Linked DNA regions of Oryctolagus cuniculus. The protein of the gene in region 1 binds, or shares a complex with, the protein of each later gene. Links are inferred from orthologs where the notes say so. Each region holds a gene or a part of one and is shown on either strand. Other genes may lie near its edges. The genes, in order: TADA2A, TAF12 and YEATS2.

Evidence for each region.
Region 2: TADA2A (region 1) and TAF12 share a complex: the UniProt entries of both Homo sapiens proteins name them as parts of the PCAF complex. The link is inferred for Oryctolagus cuniculus from reciprocal best matches to the Homo sapiens genes TADA2A and TAF12.
Region 3: TADA2A (region 1) and YEATS2 share a complex: the UniProt entries of both Homo sapiens proteins name them as parts of the ADA2A-containing complex. The link is inferred for Oryctolagus cuniculus from reciprocal best matches to the Homo sapiens genes TADA2A and YEATS2.

Annotation. Positions count from the first base shown.
Region 1 is NC_091448.1:38,154,058-38,157,706, reverse strand, and holds part of TADA2A (transcriptional adapter 2-alpha), read right to left. Parts: intron 3,444-3,649; coding exon 3,286-3,443; intron 721-3,285; coding exon 632-720; intron 1-631. UniProt on the Homo sapiens protein: Component of the ATAC complex, a complex with histone acetyltransferase activity on histones H3 and H4. Required for the function of some acidic activation domains, which activate transcription from a distant site. Binds double-stranded DNA.
Region 2 is NC_091438.1:143,068,539-143,072,187, forward strand, and holds part of TAF12 (transcription initiation factor TFIID subunit 12), read left to right. Parts: intron 1-2,055; 5' UTR 2,056-2,068; coding exon 2,069-2,140; intron 2,141-2,841; coding exon 2,842-3,093; intron 3,094-3,649. UniProt on the Homo sapiens protein: The TFIID basal transcription factor complex plays a major role in the initiation of RNA polymerase II (Pol II)-dependent transcription.
Region 3 is NC_091435.1:93,304,565-93,308,313, forward strand, and holds the start of YEATS2 (YEATS domain-containing protein 2), read left to right. Parts: upstream 1-1,458; 5' UTR 1,459-1,597; coding exon 1,598-1,652; intron 1,653-3,749. UniProt on the Homo sapiens protein: Chromatin reader component of the ATAC complex, a complex with histone acetyltransferase activity on histones H3 and H4. YEATS2 specifically recognizes and binds histone H3 crotonylated at 'Lys-27' (H3K27cr).

The DNA.
Region 1 (3,649 bases):
AAGCCAGGAGCCAGGTTCTTCCCGGTCTCCCATGTGGGTGCAGGGACCCAAGCACTTGGGCCATCCTCCACTGCCCTCCCGGCCCACAGCAGAGAGCTGAACTGGAAGAGGAGCAACCGGGACTAGTACCCGGTGCCCCAACCGGGACTAGAACCAGGGGTGCCGGCGCCGCAGGCGGAGGATTAGCCAAGTGAGCCACAGCACTGGCCACATATAAAGTTTATTGGAACACAATATTATCCACACTGCTTATGCACAGTGACAGCAAAGTTTAGTTGCAACGGAAACTAAGACCTGAAAAACCTAAAATATTTACTATCTGGCCTATAATAGGAAAAGTCTGCCAACTCCTAATACAGTACAACCTTGAAACCCGCTAGTATGACGTGAGAAATACTGCAGAAAACTCCATAAATTCAAAGGAACAATGAGCCAGAACCAATACAATTTAAAACTTTTACTGTTCTACTAGTGCAAATGTTTACAAATGAGAAAAAGAACTCAAATGGAAGAAACTGTGTCTTCCTAAGAGCTTGACAAATGAACTGTTTTACACATCTCTTTCAGGTGGTATGGATTCCATAGGCAAGAGCTCCAGCAAACATCAAAAACAAAACCAGGTGTTTCCTACCTCAATGAAATCTGCTCGAGCTGGCATGTATCCTGCCATGTCCCGAGAAAGCAAGGAGTCAAAGGTGGGTCGAGGTGGGTCATCTGCAGCTGGAAGATTCAGAGTTTGTCTCATTGACTAACAGAGTACTGACAGGAAGAAGTGACACAAAACAGTCCTTATTTACACTCTGAAACACTTTTGTATGGACAAAGACAGTATCTGAGAGAATAAATAAATTAAAAAAATAAAAGGAAAAATGAAAAAGATAATAAAGCACTATGGAAACTAGCTGATTCCTCAGACTAGGAAATAGGACTTACGGAACCCTCTGAATAAAAATGGGAAAACTTCCTCTGATTCTACTTTCCTAAAATGAACGGACACAAGATCCTTGTCAGCTTCAGATCCCTTACCCCTTGGTGCCAATCTCAATTTAAGAGCCTCATCAACTGAGAAGCCAAAAAACCCACTTGATCTGGAGGTTGGCTGGAATGGAGTCCCAGCTCTGCCACCCAACAGTACCATGATCTTGCACAAATTATTTAATCCTTCTGAACCTGAATTTTTCCTGTGTAAAACGAAAACACTTGCCCTGGTCATCTCACTGGGCTGTAGCTGGGAACAAATGGCCCAATAGATTTGAGAGGAGTGCTATCCAAGTAGGCAGTATCCTCTGCCTCTGAGCTAGCCAGGTACACAACTAAGTCTATGGAGTCTGAGGAAGGGAAGGGAGACGTGAAGACATTCATATCTCATGACTTGTGCTCTGGGAGTCATTCAGGAAAGATGCACATTTGTAATTCATCATGTTTTGAGATGGTTTATAAAGACCCACTAGTCCCACAGGTCTGTGAGATTAAAAGTCTGACATCATTGCTAAAACCAAGTGAACAAAAATGATAAACTGCTCCTTGAACTTGACACTAAGGCAATTAGTAATCACCCAAGCACTAGACTCTCTAAGCAACTCATTGAAGATGATAAACTCGGGGCTGGCATTGTGGCATAGAGGTTAGAGCCACCGCCTGCAATGCTGGCATCCCAAATGAACGCTGGTTCGAGTCTGGGCTGCTCCACTTCCAATCCAGCTCTCTGCTATTGCCTGGCAAAGCAGTGGAAGACGGCCCAAGTCCTTGGGCACCTGCACCCATGTTGGAAGAAGCTCCTGGCTCCTGGCTTTGGATTAGCACACCATCGGGAGCTGCAGCCATTTGGGGAGTGAACCAGTGGATGGAAGACCTTTCTCTCTCTCTCTCTGCCTCTGCTTCTCTGTAACTCTGCCTTTCAAATAAAATAAATAAATCCTTTTTTTGGACAGGCAGAGTTAGACAGAGAGAGAGAGAGAGACAAAGAGAAAGATCTCCCTTTTTCCGTTGGTTCACCCCGCAAGTGGCCGCTACCTGCGTCAATCCGAAGCCAGGAGCCAGGTGCTTCTTCCTGGTCTCCCATGCAGGTGCAGGGCCCAAGGACTTGGGCCATCCTCCACTGCACTCCTGGACCACAGCAGAGAGCTGGACTGGAAGAGGAGCAACCGGCACAGAACCAGTGCCCCAGGTGGAGGATTAGCCTAGTGAACCATGGCACCGGCAAAATAAATAAATCTTAAAAAAAATAAAAATAAAAAAGATAGGGGCTGGCGTCATGGCGTCGTAGGTTAATCCTTTGCCTGCAACACCAGCATCCCATAGGGGTGCCGGTTCTAATCCTGGCTGCTCCTCTTCTGATCCTGCTCTCTGCTATGTCCTGGGAAAGCCGTAGAAGATGGCCCAAGTCCTTGGGCCCCTGTACCCACGTGGGAGATCCGGAAGAAACTCCTGGCTCCCAACTTTGGATTGGCACAGCTTCAGCCGTTGCAGTCTTTTGGGGAGTGAACCAACGAAGGGAAGACCTTTCTCACTGTCTCTAACTCTCACTATCTGTAACTCTACCTCTCAAATAAATAAATAAAATCTTAAAAAAAAAAAAAAGATAATAAACCCTCCTAAGGGATTGCTAAAGGCTTCTACTCACCACAGCATGGAAAGGTTGGTCCCTTTTTCACATCTCATCTTACAGAAGCAAGCACTAAAATTAATTGCTATGTTCAAGAGACTCAGAGAGGGCCCAACTACACACTGGTTTCGGGTTCCCAGATGTCCAGTAAGAACTCTGACCCCTGAGAGATGTTCCTTCTTTGCCACATTATATACATTTTTTTAGGTTTATTTATTTGAAAGGCAGAATTACAGAGAGGGAGAACAAGTGACAGAGAGAGAGAAATTTTCCATCTATTGGTTCACTCCCCAAATGGCTCCAAAGGTCAGGGATGTGCCAGTCTGAAGGCTGAAGCCAGGAACCAGGAGCTTCTTCCAGGTCTTCTCCCATGTAGGTACAGGGTCCCAGGGACCTGGGTCATTTTTCACCGCTTCCCAGAGACATTGGTAGGGAGCTGGATGAGAAGTGGAGTAGCTGGGACTAGAACTGCTGCCCACATGGGATGACGGCACTACAGACGGCAGCTTAACCCACTGTGCCACAGCACCAGTCCCTCTCTGCCACATTATAACCCTGACTCAAGAGCTCCCATGCCAACTCCCCCTTTATTCCACATACTCTTTAACTGTTCCAATCACTGTTCATACAGGGCCCAGCAATGTGCTAAGCATCTCTTACCAAACCAGGGAGGCACTTACAGTGAAATGGAATGGCCGTGTCAGCAGTTTTTGCCTCCTCTGCTTGTTTCAGGTTTAGCAGGGTAGATGCAAACAGAGGGTTATTGATGAAATGCTTCATATAGTGCTTCTCACACTCTTCCTTTGTCTTGGTGCACATCTGATTGGCAACATCTTGCCTTTAGAAAGGAGAGAAGGAAGCAATACTTTCATTCATACATAACTGTCAAAGTGGTTTGTTCTTGATATTTTAAGTCACAGACATAAGATGTCTGTAATTTGATAACTCCAAACTAATGTAACAAAGATATCCACAGAAGAATGAGACAAATATAAGTCTCATATTGGTATAATCTCATGTTCCAAATTTTGTATTCCAAGATAT
Region 2 (3,649 bases), on another chromosome or scaffold:
AAGTGACCACCATTGGAGCTTTTCCTTAAGGTTCTTAATTTGTTATGTGATTTTTCATATTTGGTACTATGTAGATAGTCCATATTTTTCATCTTGAGGTCTAATAACAGGAATTCCCATTATACAAAAATTTCTATTACAGGGGCCAGAGTTGTGGTACAGTGGGTTAAGCCACTACTGGTGACATCTGCATCCCATATTAAAGTGCCTATTCAAGTCCTGACTACTCTGCTTCCCATTCAGCTTCATGCTAGTGTGCCTGCAGAGGCAGCAGAAGATGGCCCAAGTACTTGGGACCCTGTAAACCATGAGGGACACCAGAATGGAGCTCCTGGTACCTAGCTTTTGCTCTACCCAGCCCTGCCTGTTGTTGTGGCAATTTGGATAGTGAACCAGCAGATGGAAGATCTCTCTGTCTCTCCCTTCTCTGTCACTCTGCCTTTCAAATAAATAAATCTAAAAAAATAAACTCCCCTCCTCTGTGAAGCCTTCCTTGACTTTCCTCTGCCAGAAGGCCATGTGTCTTCACGTAAATTATCATTTTTTATAAAAAAGCTATTTTCTAAAAAAAAAAACTGCATTGCAAAAAAAAATCCACTTATTCTGAGCAATACTCAGTACTGTTTGGGAAATCCCTTAAAGATTGTGGGAAAGTTATTTGAGAGGTATAATTTCTTCAGTGTAAGGCTAGAGTGATGAGGATAGAGTCTGATAATCTTTTCTTTATTGAAGTTTATTTATTTAAAAGTTAGAGTTACATAAATGGAAAAAGAGAGAGAGAATCTTCTATCCTCTGGTTCACTTCCCAAGTAGCCACAATATTCAAGCTGAAGCCAGGAGTCTGGAACTACATCCAGGTCTCCCACATGGGTAGCTGGGGCACAAGCACTGGGACCATCTTCTGCTAGTTTCCCAGACTCATTAGCAGGGAGTTGGATTGGAAGTGGAGCAGCCAGGACTCAAATTGGCATCCATATGGGATGCTGTCATCACAGGTGACAGCTTAACCAACTGTACCACAGCTGGTCCCTCTGGTAATCTTTAATAAGGTTTTTGCACAGAAGTTGCTCTGGGAAAAATAATATTAGAACAACTATTACCGCATCAACAATCTTCTATCCCGACTCTTCCGTGAATAATATTAATGACTAGAGAGCAAAGAGGCATGAGCCATACAAAGTTGAAAAAAAGAAAAATGATCCTGATGCTTTGCTGTTCCCATCAGCTGGTTTTTGGCTAACAAGTCAGTCTTGCTTCCCTAGGTTGCTTAGCCAGTTTGTTGTTCGTATCCTTTATTAGGAGTAAACCAGAAGAACATGATTTCTCACGAGAAATCACAAGGAACTCTGAGGGGCTAGAGTGGAATAGATACAGATAGACTTGCAGGTTGCCAAGCTTTGCCATGCTCTGAAAGCTATTGACATAATTCCTGCAAGTTCAAATCACACAATTTTGCCTTAAAAAGTATCTCCTATACATAACATGTTATCTTTAACAGTAGAACATTCATCTGATAGGAAGATAATCTGTATATGCTATAATCATTAACTTTTTTGAAGATTTGCTTATTTGAAAGGCAGAGTTACAAAGAGGCAGAGGCAGAAAAAGAGATTTTCCATCCACTAGTTCAATCCCTAAATGGCCGCGATGGCCAGGGCTGAGCCAGGCTGAAGCCAAGAGCCAGGAGCTCCTTCCGGGTCTCACATGTGGGTGCAGGGGCCCACGTACTTGGGCCATCTTATGCTGCTTTCTCAGGCACATTAGCAGGGAGCTTGATTGGAAGTAGAGCAGCTGGGACTCAAACCAGCATCCATATGGGATGCCGGTGCTACAGGTGGTAGCTTTACCTGCTAAGCCATAGCGCCAGCCTTCATTAATTAATTTTTAAAATGGTTTGAATGAGTTGGAGATGTTTTTCTTGGCACTCAGTAGGAACAAGAAGGTAATGTTTGAACACCATTTATTTGGGTCCTAGTTGGTGAAGATGTGCCAGGCCATGCCGCTGAAATGGTTCAATGGCAAAGGTGATACCTGATGCTAGTTGTTCATTTACAGGTAGCTTTTGAAAATGGCTGCCTCTCATTTCACCGGGCTCACAGCTGTTGCTGATGTAATTAAAGATCTAGACACTCAGATAGCTGTAAGTAAGCTCCTGAGGACTCTGTGGGTAGAACTTTGTGAATGTGCTTCTGATTCCAGCGATAGCAAGCTGATGTCCACAGAGTTGATCACATGGCTCTAAGATAGGAGTCTTGGCTGCTTCAGGCTAGGGTTACTGCATGCACGTAAAGATTTCTAACACTTACAGAGAAGTTGCTCATATTGATAAAGAAGTATTTACTTTAACAGTTGCTAAAAGCTGCATTTATTGCGTATAACCTTGACATAGATTTAAGTATGTTTTGAAATACCAAAATAAACTAATCTGTTTTCTTAAACTCTGTGACTGGGTTTTAAGTATGTGATTGTGACATGACTTACTTGCATTTAATGTTGATACATGTGGTACTTAATGCATGTGATACTTAAGCAACTACTGTTTTTTATAAAGTCCTCAAAAGTGTATTGCTTATTTTAGTTTGTTTTTATTCATAAGATTCCTCATTTCATTTACTTTCTTCCTTATTTTGATTTTGTGGACTATTTCATTTAGCTTTTGGAGAAGAGATGGTTTCTAAATATCAGGTGAGAGCAATGAATAGTCTTTATTCCTCCATTTCTAACATGTAGGTATTCCAGAGACACTGAAGACCCTCAATATCAGACCTCATAAAATTTTACTTTCAAAACATCCTTATTCCATGTGCTTCTAGAGCTAATTCTCATGTTTTCCTTCTCCAGTTGATTGGCCTTGGTCCTCACAGCTCCAAAAAGAAACAAGATCTTGATAAGCTCTATGAGCTGAAGTCCAAAGCTCGGCAGATTATGAACCAGTTTGGTCCCTCAGCCCTAATCAACCTCTCCAATTTCTCATCCATAAAACCGGAACCAGCCAGCACCCCTCCACAAGGATCCATGGCCAATAGCACTACAGTGGTAAAAATACCAGGCACTCCTGGGACAGGAGGTCGTCTTAGCCCTGAAAACAATCAGGTATCATCCTCTTCCATTTTGTTCTCTGTAAGCACCTCTTACCTGTTACTGGAACTGGGAATGCTTTAAGAGATGTCCATCTCAGATACTGCCTCTTCCTCTGAGCTGAAAAGGCCTCTTCCCTCCTCTGAAATTGAAACATTCTTTATCATTTATCCAACATAGTGTTTATCTGTTTTTACTTTGTGTTATGTATGGTTGTGCACATGCACTTATACATCCATCCATACATACATATCAACACAACACTTTTTCGGGTGTTTTTAATATTTATGTTAGCTACATAGCTGTTAAATAAAAGAAATGGGCTTCTTATTCCTATGATAAAAGTAACTTTGCCTTCAGTCATTCATTCTTGTTTATCCAGATGCTGCCATTATTAATTTTATTCAGTGATTATAAAATCTGTTCCTGTCTTTGAACTGAAGATCCTGATTCTGCCCTTCACAGCCATAAGAAATAGATATAAACCCTTGACTTATGTTTTGTATGGTGGGTAGAATGGATGAAGGGACATTTCAAGGGGAGGGAATAAAGAGACAAGCAAAACTGAATT
Region 3 (3,749 bases), on another chromosome or scaffold:
TTTGCTCAGTGCCTAACATAGTGCTTGAAATGCGGAATAGAAATGCAACCAAAATCTGTTGAACAAATATTGTTCATCTATTTTTATCCCTAATAGAAGGCCAGAGGTGACGTAATATAAACTCCTCTTTTGCCCCGTCATGCCGGGCTTGGGAGTTAGTTCTTGTCCCTCCAATTCATATATTGGACAAAGAGTTTTTGAGCACATACGATGTGCAATGCACTGAGCTTGTTATTGGGGACACAGGAGTAAATCCTAAACTTCAAATACTTCAGCATATGATAATATGGATAGAGTGTAAAAAATTCATAAAGTTTTTGCCCTACAATCACCACTAAACTCTAGTGGTAAATGTTTACAGTGCCTGGAAGGCATGGGGGAGAAGGACGAAACAGGTAGTCCCTGGAGACCAGCTGGGAGGCGACTGAAGGCTTGGGCAGAGACATGGTGGTGTCTTGGGTAGGGTAGTAAGCACAAGCAAAGAGAAGACTGGCCTCAAGGGTTATTTAGGGGGACAGCGACTTCCTGGATTGTCACTAACTAGCTCTGTGACCTAGAAAGGACATAATTGCCAGCCTCAGCTTCCGTATCTATGAAACGGGTTAGTAATAGCTGTTTGCATCCCTCCCTCAGAGGTTGCCAAGAGAAGGCACACACGAAAATCAGTCACTGTTGTTATTACCATGGAAGTTCATAAATGCCGGCAGAATGAACACTCTATTAAGCCTGGGTCTGGGATGCGCCATCTTTTTAGCAGGAAAATGATGAATGACAGTGCCTTTGCCAAAACCAACGCCCGCAACCCCAGGCAGCTGGGCCACGCAGCCCAGAGTCAGAGCCCGGGCAGCGCCGCCCCGCCCCCATCCCCGCAAGTCCCGCCCCCGCCCCACCCACGTTTCTGCGAGCTCCGCCCTGGGCCTCCGCGCGCGCGCGCTCGCGCGCCGCCACTGCCGCCCTCGCGCGCGCGCCCCGGACCGCCCCTACAGCTGACGTGCGGGGCGGAACGGACCGGGAGAGCTCCTCCGAGCTGTGTGCTTCCGCGGGCTGCGGGGTCTCCGGGGCCTCGTGGCGGGCCGCCGTTGCGGGGCTTCTTCTGTTCCCTCACCTCCCTGTGCCCGCTCCCGGAGCGGGGCGGGGCCTGCGCCGTCGCTGGGAACCAGCAGAAGGGTGAGTGTTGGCGGGAGCGGGATGGGGCCGGTCGGGCGCGCGCCCCGCTCTCCGGGGCATTGTCTGGGCGGGGGTGGCGCGGGCACGTGCGCGCCCCTCCCCCATCCCGCGGGCCGCGGCTGCGGAGGCCGGACCCGGCGAGCCCGGGGCGGAGGAAGGGGGCAGGGAGGGAGCTGGTGGCTGCCGGGAGCAGTGAATCGCGAGGAGCCGGCTGGGGCGGCGTGTCTGGAGCGTCGGAGGCGGGAACCGGAACGCGGACTGAGGGGGCTCCTTTCAAAAGGACCGGCGCTCTCTGAGGGGGCGGGGGACGGCCCCGGAGACGCGGTGGCCCGCGCTTTTGGGGCGTTCCGCCTGGCGGTCTGCCCATGGTATTGAAGACAGATGTGAAGATCTGGCCCCGGCCCCAGCAAGTTGTGGGTTTAGCAAAAGAATGTTGGAATGTGCCTCGGAGCTGCGTCCGCCACCCCCGCCCGCGCCGCGGCCAGGTGGGATTGAGCGCGGCTGGGGGGCTGTGCTGGGCTGGCGGTGAGGGCCGAGGGGCCCCGGAGAGATGGACTTTATAACAGCCCCCCACCCCCGTTATGGTTGTAATTATGTTACAAAATGAGAAGTAGAGGCGGAAAAATACCATTGGTATTTCTCCAGCTCTGACCAGCCGTTCGTAGAGTTAGGATACATGTTTGCGAGTGTTTGCATCTGAACAGGTTTCTTAACCATTAGAGTGGATCCACACTTTCTGTTCCCTTTTCTCGGTAACATATAGAAAATGCGATGGGATAGTCCATATTTTCAGCAATATCATTTCCCCTTAATAGGTAGCAAGTGTTTATCATAGAAAAATTTAAAATACAGACAAGCAAAGTGAGGGAAAAGTACCGCTGATTTTCCTGACTAGAGATACTGCCACTGAGTGTGTATTTTTGGTTGTGGATATCTTTCTCAAAGATAGTGGTTAGTAGTTCAGTGCTCCTGGGAAGGCTTTGAAGATTACAGGTAGGTGGGTAGCATCGTTGGTAGACTGGGTGGAGGAGGAGGCAAGGGTGGAAGATCGGAGATCCTTTAAGTTGCTGTTTGCTGTATCTTTGGCCTAGGCCTATGGCATTGGAGGTGGACGAGGATTAAAAGGATTGAACAATACTTTGGTGGTAGAATGTAGAAGACTTGGAGATGAATTGGTGAGGGAAAGGGAGGAATCTTTGCTGTTTTGATTTTGGTTTTGAACAGCTGATGCACCATTTACTGAGATGAGAAAGAAAAAGGCAAACTTTTTAAAGATTTTTTTTATTTGAAAAGCAGAGTGAGAGAGAGAACTCTTCCATCCACTGGGCCACTTCCCCAGGGCCCTAGGCTAGGCTAGGCCAGGCTGAAGCCAGGAACCAGGAGCTCCATCTTGAGCTCCCCTGTGGGTGGCCAGGGCTCAAGCAGTTGGGCCATCATCTGCATCAATAGGGGGGAGCTGGATTAGAAGCGCAGCAGCTGGGATATGATATGGGATCCCAGTGTCAACAGCAGCAGCATAACCCTGTGGCACCACAACGCTGGCCCAGTGAGAGAAATTTCAGATGGTAAAAATGATGACTTCTGTTTCAGATGTGTTGAATTTGAGGTGCAGGGGTGGGCATTTGACCTAGTGGTTCAGTTGCCAGTTAGGATGTTTATGTCCCACATCAGGGTTCCTGAGTTAGATTCCCAGCTCCAGCTCCTGACATCAGCTTTCTGCTGATGTGGACTGTGGGAGGTAGCAGTGATGGCACAAGCAATTGGGGCCCAGTCACCCATATGGGAGACCTGAGTTGAGATCCTGTATCCTGGCTTTCAGGCTCCTGGTTTCCTGTTTGGCCTAGCCTGGGCCATTGGTAGGCATTTGATGGGTGAACCAGCAGATGGGGGGCAGGAGGGGGCATCCCATAGGCTCACTCTGTCCCTCTCAAATAAATAAAAATAATAGAAAATTTGGGTTGCATATTAGTTATGGGGTATGTTGAAGCAGTTAGATGTGTGTGTGTGTAGAATATGGGGAATTGTAGAGCTAGAGATAAAATTTTAGAAATAATCAAAATATGGATGCCATTTAGAGGTATGGGACTAGTAAGATCACTTATGGAAAGAATGCAGAAAGAAGTGAAAAGGATTAACTGAAATTCTTTTGGGTCTGGTAGAGGAAGAAGGTTGAACCTGGGACCCAAGAAACAGCCAGTGAGTTAAGAGAAAAAGAAGGAGCATAGTGTCATGAAGCCAAGAGAGGGGTATGTTTCTGGAAGACGGAGAATTAGTCCTCTTATTGGTGGCTGAGATGTGTATTAAATGGAATTGACAACATGGAGGTTATTGTTTGGTTATTGGTATGCTGTCCACAGTTCTAGAAGTGGGAAGTGGAAAGCAGATTACTGTAGTTCAACAGGGATGTGAGAGTGAAAACAGTAAATTAGAAAAAGTGTTCGCCAGGGCCTGCATTGTGGTATGTCCCATTTTGGAGTACCAGTTTGAATCTAGACTTCACTGCTTCTGATCCAGCCTGCTGCTAATGTACCTGGAAGGGCAGTAGAAGGTGCCCCAAGTGCTTGGCCCTCTGCCACCCATGT